Arabidopsis thaliana: one gene and its partner. The protein of the gene in region 2 interacts with the protein of the main gene of each other region in a pairwise test. Each region holds a gene or a part of one and is shown on either strand. Other genes may lie near its edges.

The links. The genes of interacting proteins can lie anywhere in the genome.
Region 1: the proteins of AT5G09830 (region 2) and AT2G20270 interact in a two-hybrid assay, tested with the Arabidopsis thaliana proteins (one study listed by BioGRID).

What each region holds. Positions count from the first base shown.
Region 1 is NC_003071.7:8,737,196-8,741,618, forward strand, and holds AT2G20270 (Thioredoxin superfamily protein), read right to left. Parts: upstream 2,466-4,423; 5' UTR 2,423-2,465; coding exon 2,136-2,422; intron 2,026-2,135; coding exon 1,952-2,025; intron 1,389-1,951; coding exon 1,233-1,388; intron 1,074-1,232; coding exon 1,047-1,073; intron 883-1,046; coding exon 806-882; 3' UTR 591-805; downstream 1-590. Other genes in the region: PSAE-2 (photosystem I subunit E-2), read left to right, coding at 202-267, 345-449; AT2G20280 (Zinc finger C-x8-C-x5-C-x3-H type family protein), read right to left, coding at 2,859-3,059, 3,173-3,275, 3,372-3,502, 3,591-3,782, 4,330-4,421. UniProt on the Arabidopsis thaliana protein: May only reduce GSH-thiol disulfides, but not protein disulfides.
Region 2 is NC_003076.8:3,057,103-3,060,584, forward strand, and holds AT5G09830 (BolA-like family protein), read right to left. Parts: upstream 1,724-3,482; 5' UTR 1,668-1,723; coding exon 1,608-1,667; intron 1,024-1,607; coding exon 1,001-1,023; intron 913-1,000; coding exon 714-912; 3' UTR 501-713; downstream 1-500. Other genes in the region: AT5G09820 (Plastid-lipid associated protein PAP / fibrillin family protein), read right to left, coding at 1-278; AT5G09840 (Putative endonuclease or glycosyl hydrolase), read left to right, coding at 1,925-3,482. UniProt on the Arabidopsis thaliana protein: May act either alone or in interaction with glutaredoxin as a redox-regulated transcriptional regulator, or as a factor regulating Fe-S cluster biogenesis. The GRXS17-BOLA2 heterodimer binds a labile, oxygen sensitive iron-sulfur cluster.

The sequences.
Region 1 (4,423 bases), on a different chromosome or scaffold from region 2:
TTTGGACCTCTAGATCAGGATTAAAAGGAACTAACCCTTGTGGTAGAAGAAAATTCAAGCTTAATTAGATGCTAGTAGAGAAGATTGGACTAATATTTGAGCTAAACTGGGTATCATCAATAAGTTCTGGGTCTATTTAGTATACATATTAAGAGTTATAGGGCTACTGTGAAATTTATAAACAATTTTGAGGACTTACAGGTCAAGATTCTAAGGAAAGAATCATACTGGTACAAGAACGTTGGATCAGTTGTGGCCGTTGATCAGGTAATGCATTTACTTTTGAAGTTAACGATCTAACGGTTAGATATCGTTTCATCTTATATTCCGGTCTAAATTGTCAGGACCCGAAGACCCGATATCCGGTTGTGGTCCGGTTCGCCAAGGTGAATTACGCGAATATATCGACCAACAACTACGCATTGGACGAGGTGGAAGAAGTAAAATGAGAGACATGGTTTATCTCTAAACCGGTTCGTCTGTTTGTAATCTTAAACAAAACCGTATGTACCAAAAAGTTAACCAACAATTCATCTTTTATCTTTTACAATCTCAAGATCGATTTCCAAATATGCATTTAGCCACCCAAAAATGATTGCAAATTCCAAGTAGTGTGGATCAAACTCAGCAACTCCGGTTTAGTAACAGAACCCAGCATGACTCATTGACTGTTTTTTGTACGTAGAAAGAAACACAAGATTCTTATTGAAAATCTCTATATAGACAGTAAATTCAAACAGCAAATCATCTCGACTTCAATAAGGAAACATGAAGAATCACCAACCAGTTTCATCTCTAGAAATCTCTAGGTCTGACCGTTTTTTCCATTGGCTTCAGCTAAAATTGCTTCCAGCTCTCCTTTATTGTGCAGCTGCAATGTATCTGTTCAACAATAATGATATGCAGGTCAAGTTACCAGAAAAATCACAAGACATTGAGCAAGATCTTGAGTACTATCTATCTTGGTGCCAAAATACACAAAGACGATCTCAATTACATATTAGAAAAATCTCGGTGTTGAGGTAAGAAAGGAAGAGAGATTGTACCTGAGCAGCCACCAATGTGCTTGCCTCCTGGTCATGAACAAAAACATGATATCAAAATTAGATAAGTGATGGTCATAGCAAATGTAGTGGCTAAGATTTTATCGATAGTTTTGTTTTCAGGCAAAATAATCAAGAAAAATGATCAGAGTATAGTTAGTAACTGGCTTAAATGATGAAACAACTAACCGATGAAAACATTGGGAACAGTGTATTGTCCAGTAATTTTCTCCAACACATTCTGCAGCTGCGACCCTTCTGAACCTGGAAACGCCAAAAACCACCAAAACTTTTGTAAATGTTTCAGACCAATATCATGAGGCAGAGATGTTTTACCCAAAGAAACTAAACAAGACAAGAAAGAACAAATGGTTTTGGAAAGTCACCAAATCTTGACACGAGAAAAGATAACTAAGAAGATAGCAACATAATAGTTTCTAACAAATAGAAGCATACTGTCTAAGATTCAAAGGCAGGAAAGAATCTTCAATTTGAAAAATTTAAGCCATTAGAAGTACTAGCCTACCCGTTGATTCTTCATCAACAAGTCATTGGTCCAAGGAAAACTACAGTGGAAGTAAATTTTTCACATAAACAAGACACAGAATCTCTGAAATGTAAAGCTATCTTAGGCCATTAGAAACCCCCCTAACCATCATCAATCCTCCATCAAAATCTAATCAAAAAACATACAAACCAATTCAAGCAAGCAGCCAAATGAACCAGAAGATAAACAAGAAGAAGTTGGAAACAAGTATTAATTTCATCCAGTCAAAATGCTGAAACATTAGGGCACTTGTAACCAGCTCTTCCTTGATCGATATAAACAATATCACACACATTATCAAAACCAATATAGCAAACTACTCAGACCCATATAGCAAACCAAAGTAAAGAATTGAGCATACCAAGTTGATCCAATTCAACAACCAGTGGCTCAACTTGAAGACTCTTGAACAAGGACTTCACTTGAGACGAGTATCTTCACCACCAAAAAGAACAAACCCAGTAAAAGTATCAATATTGACAAACTAGATCATAAATTAACAAAACCCATTCCTCTAATTGAACCAAAAAGTATAGTGAACCTACGAGCACCAGGTTTTGGAGTAAACAACGACAGGGTTCTCTGCCACAGTCGTTTTAACAGTCTCCTCCAATGTCGATCCAGACGAAGACGATGATGAAGACATAGCCTTAACAGAAGAACAACGGAGTGGTGGCCACGACGCGATTCCGATAACTGTCGGCTTTAGACATCTCCTGAAAGGTAACATGCCCAAGTTTCTGATTCCGCTTAACATGGAGAAAGAGATTGCTGGATTTGAATTTAACGACGTCCATGTCATGTTCGCGAGGTTTACTGTTGCGGCTACCATGGCGATTTCTTCTTCCGACGAAATTGGATGCTTTTCTTATTTTTGCCCTCAGATTAATTTACCTCTTTTTATATCGCCGATATTTTTTGTTCTTTATTTATAAATATCAATAAAACAACTAAATATTCATAAGAATTGATTAAAATTCTTTGTTTTTAATACATTTCTGTAGTTTTTATTTTCTCTAGTAAGTTTACGACCTTTTATTTACACATCATGATAAAATTAACAACAACAAAGAAAGATGAAAATGATTGGACAAAAAAGATACTACTAGTTCTTTGATGAGGCCATTTAAGACTGTAAAACAGTAACAGAAATTATTCAACACCCCAAAATGGGGTTTGTGTCTGCAAAATCCAATCTATTGAAAGTACACAAAAACAAAACATGTGCTTTCTCTCCTCCACCTCTTCCTCTTAGACCATTTTTCATTTCAAGATGACCCTTCGTCGTTTGGCTCACGAATCTGGATCGATGTTTTCGACAAGCTTGCTTCCAATTCATCCAGCTCATCCATGTCTAGGTCATCATCATCATCATCGTCATCTTCTTCTTCTTCATTGACTTCTTTCGAACTCTGTTCAGCATCACCACTACTCTTGCTTGTCCCTGCCTCTGCTTCTTTGTTCTTTGCCTGAAAAGCAAAAAACTCAAGATTCCATTAACATGACTTGGTTGTTTTAAATGATGAGTGAGTGAGAGAGAGAGAGAGAGAGAGAGAGAGAGAGAGAGAGAGAGAGAGCTCACCTTTTGTTCAGTCTCTTCCTGCTCTCTTTCCCTCTCGTATTCTTCACAAGCCTCAGCATCATCCACAAACAAGCTTGCATTGGACAGAAACAGCTCCCGACCACTGAGGTTACAAATCCACACAATGAATCAGCTTCCAAGGACAAAAATAGAGTCACACTGGAGATGGATATGTAACAGAATGATGAATGGGGATTACCTCATACGGTCGTTCTTAGCTCTCTCCGCTTGAGAAGCAGCCAAACCGGCATCTCTCTCAGCAATTTTCTTCCTCTTCCATTCCATAAATAGTGCAGGAGTCATTTGTGTTGCGGTTTGCAGTTTTGCACGCTGAAACATAGAACAAGAAAACATGGGTCTCACAAATCAAGTACCGGGTCCTAGCAGCTATGAGGGAAACTTGAGGAGTATTTTAAACCTCGTTTTCGATTTCGTCCTCAACTGCCAGCTTCTTCGATGACTCCTCTTCCAAGAGGGCTTTCATTTGAGATTTAAGGACATATCCAGGAGGAAGCGCGTGTCTGTAATGACACTCTTTGCCACCATTGGGGCATGACCAGAACCACCCATACTGTTTCTTTTCCACAGCATCCAGAAAATACTTGCAAACCTATTATTTTTCAGTAAACACAAAAACAATTACAAGTCAATAAAACTCAGCGAGACAAATAACTCATGTGTTTAGGATAAGTTTATGAGATGATTATTGAGATGAGACGCAGAGATATTATTTCTTTTAGCATAGACGTATATAGTTAAGAAACATTTATTTCAAAATTATGATTAGCACTAACATCACCAAAAGCATGAGTTCTTGTCAGGCATGAACCAAGTGCGCAGAAAAACACAAGGGAACAACGGGAGGCATAATAACATCTAAGACCCTAATGGCTCTTAATATGAACCGTGCTATTAGCTAAAGGAAGCGCATCGTAAGGCGAATGCACATCAGCTAAAGGTTAATCACAGCAAGTGCAACCAAAACTAATGCATCACTTCACATAATACACGTTAAAAGGCTGTATATTTGAACACAAACCAGTTCAGACATTTTCACAGTGCATTAACAAGAGAAAAGCTACTAATAACTGATAAGCATGTCCCGACAAGCATATAATAAAAAGTCCGAGAAACACAAGATAAGAGAAACAACTTACGATATCTGTTGGCTTATTCTGATTATATTCATTTTTCTTTGATTCAACAACCTTTTCAAGGGTCTCTTGATCCCACTCATCCATATCTCCATCT
Region 2 (3,482 bases):
GCTTCGTAGAGCTCTTCTTTTATATGAGAAACTGTAATCTCTTCTTGTTCTTGTTCTTGTTCTTCATCTTGTTGTTGTTCATTTGGGGAGGAACAAGAACTCTGTTCTGTGACTTTCCCGATGAACATGGGTCTGAGCCTAAATGAGTTGTCACTAAAACTCAGCGTTTTGCCATTAGAACTGGTGAAAGAGACTAATACTTTCACGTTTCCTGTTCTTCTCGAGATTGCTCCTCGTGAAGCTGCCATTGATGGTGGCTGGAAAAGGTTACTCGTCATTAGCAGTTTATACACCAGAATCTCTAAACCCAATGGAGCTTAATAAGAAGTAGAAGAAGAAGATGGGATTTGAGGAAAAAGAGAGAGAGATAGATTTATGGGGAGGAGAATGGACAGTTTTTTTTGGTTATTTTATCCATCTTTTAGCATCTATCTCTCCCCCCCACCATACACTGCACTGACTCTATTATAAAATTTAGCCAATCCCATTGGTCTTTTTTTTCTTTTTTAAGATGGTGTCATGGTAAAATTCTCAAAAAAATCTCCATCTAAATTGAGAAAAACCCAATTTTTGTTATATTTTGCAACCAATTGCATATGTTTTAAAAAAGTGTTTACACTTCATCAAAAGCAGTAATCGGAGTACAGTAACCACAAAGTATCAACATAGTAAATGCTCTGTTCTTTGTCACAAGGCTTTTAAAAAACAGAAATTCAGGCATCTTTGGTTAAGGTTGCAGAGTCTTGTGATGGTGGCTTCCATTGTTGTGGAGTCTGAGCTTTCTTAATAGAGAGAGCATGAATCTCTTTCATTTCTTCTTCTAGCGCAGCATTCACCATACGATGCCTCTCCAGCAATCTCTTCCCTTCGAATTGTTCAGAGACAACCTCCACTTCAAAACTCGAACCACAACTGCAATAAACAGTTTTGCTGATATTAAGAACAAGAAATTATGCCATAAGCCAGAGAATCAAATGTGTATTGACAATCCGGTACTTACCCTCCAGATATGTCAATGACTTCCTGGTACACACAAAAACAAACAATGTCACTAAAAAATTCTAAAAGCTAAAGATTGAAACAATTGGAACACATGAATCAAGTGAAAAGGGAAATAGATTGACATTGAAGTAACTTCAATCTTCACATGTTATAAAGCAAAGAAACTATACACATCCTTGGATCTGCTTTTTGAGTTCTAGTTCACAAAAAACCATGACACAAATAAAATTTTCCGACAAGAACACTCACTACTAAGTTGCTAATACATCAGGAACACTACGTCATCAAATCCTGAGCTCAGTATCACACTGCATCAAATTACACCTAACTACGCAAACAACCACCTTTTATATTCTGTTTCAGAGCTGAAAGACAACACATAGTGATGTATAATCTAGATGCTGAGATTATTACAATACATAGTACCTCTTATGATCCAACTATCAAAGTGTATGATTTTGATCAAAGTGAGCAGGTCAAAAATCTCAAATTTGGCAATTTTCCCAGATCAATTTGATGATTAGGGTTTCAAAGTTTCCCACAAAAGTTTCAAACCCTAATCAATAGATGAAATTGAAAGAAGAAAGCAGTATAAGAACACTCACGAGATGAATTGGCTTAAGTTTCGAAGTCAATGAAGCTTCGACTTGCTCCTTCGTCACCATCTCTCTCTCTCTCTCTCAAACAAAAATTGAAATCCCTAATTACTGTACTCATTGAATTAGAATATTAAACCATACGCTATTTGGTTTTGGTTTAGCGAGAGTACGGTTTAGTTTGGTTCAATTGGGATACCATTCGGTTATCGACAATTCCAAAATAATAACTAGGGTTTAAGCTCTGCTTTCCTTTACTTCGTCTTCCTCACTCCTAAAACCCTCTCAGTCTCTCCATTTCCCGGAGCAAAAATAGCTCTCCGACCATGAAGTTTGGATCTTTACCATCCAAATCCCTTCTCTTCCGCCTCTCTTCTTCCTCCACAACCCAATCTCACCGTCGAACAATTACCCTTTTCATCACTAACATTCATTCCTCTCCATTCTCCACCACAACCACCTCCGGCTCCAATTTCGTCTCCGGATCCAGCCATTCTCCCTCTCGACGTCCTCAGCAAGACGAAGAGTCCCGATCCGTTAGGGTTTCGGTCTGGTGGGACTTCCTGAGCTGTAACTTACCTGTAGACACCAATGTCTACAAAGTAGCACAATCAATCACCGCCGCTATCAGAAACAGCGGAATCAAAGGACCAATCACAATCACAGCCTTCGGTGACGTTTTACAGCTCCCCAGATCAAACCAAGACGCTCTCTCCGCTACAGGAATCAGTCTCACTCATGTTCCTAACGGTGGTAAGAACAGTGCTGATAGATCTCTAATCACAGATCTTATGTGTTGGGTTTCTCAGAATCCACCACCAGCTCATCTTTTGCTAATCTCTAGTGATAAGGAGTTTGCAAGTGTGTTACATAGATTGAGGATGAACAATTACAACATTTTGCTTGCGAGTAAATCATCAGCTCCTGGTGTTTTGTGTAGTGCTGCTTCTATTATGTGGGATTGGGATGCTTTGATTAAAGGAGAGTGTGTTACTGGTAAGCATTTTAATCAGCCTCCTGATGGTCCTTATAACTCTTGGTATGGTCACTATAGGATTCCTCTTCTTGATCCATTTGCTATTGCTACCACTACTGAGCAATCTTCGTCTAGTGTGAAAATCGAAGAACTATCCGAGTCTGTGAATTCGAATGCTGTTGTTAACCTTCGTCCTATTCCAAAAGAAGTTGTTGATAAGATTCGTTCGATAGTGAGTTTATATCCCAAGGGGGCTGCCATTACAGAACTACGTGCTGAGCTGAGTAAGAGCAACTTGGCTATTGATAAAGATTTCTATGGACATAAGAAGTTTTCGAAGTTTCTTTTATCCATGCCAGATATCTTACAGGTTACTACAGTAAGTGAAGGCTTGTTTATGATTCGGGCTGTTACCGAAAAGAAGCCTCCGATGCGGCTTGATTCTAGTCCTCGTTTGTCTACTGCTGTTGATCAGAAGATTAAAGATAAGGAAACTGTTAATGCTCCATCACCAAAGCTAATTAGCGATGTAGAGCTTGCTGCTGAAAGAAGAAGAGATGGCTTACTTGGAAAGAAGCAGGAAAAGGTATTGGAGAGTGATAAAATTGTTAAAGAAGAATCATCAGAGAGTTCTCAAGACCCAATTCTGGTCGGCCAGAAGGATGTTAAGGCAAATGTTAAACCCGTCGAGACGAATCAAGTCGCTCTTGTTGCGTGGAGTGATTCGTCCATGGAAGATGGCTTTTTTCAAAAGCTAAAAAGACTGTGGTATGGTTCACCTGAGATGGAATTAGAGCATCTCCCAGAAATGAAGAGCGTTTCTGGAAGTGGAGACACACATAGAGAGGATAATGACTTAAAGTCATCAAGTCAGGGAAGTGGAAACAAACATAAAGAGGATAAGGACT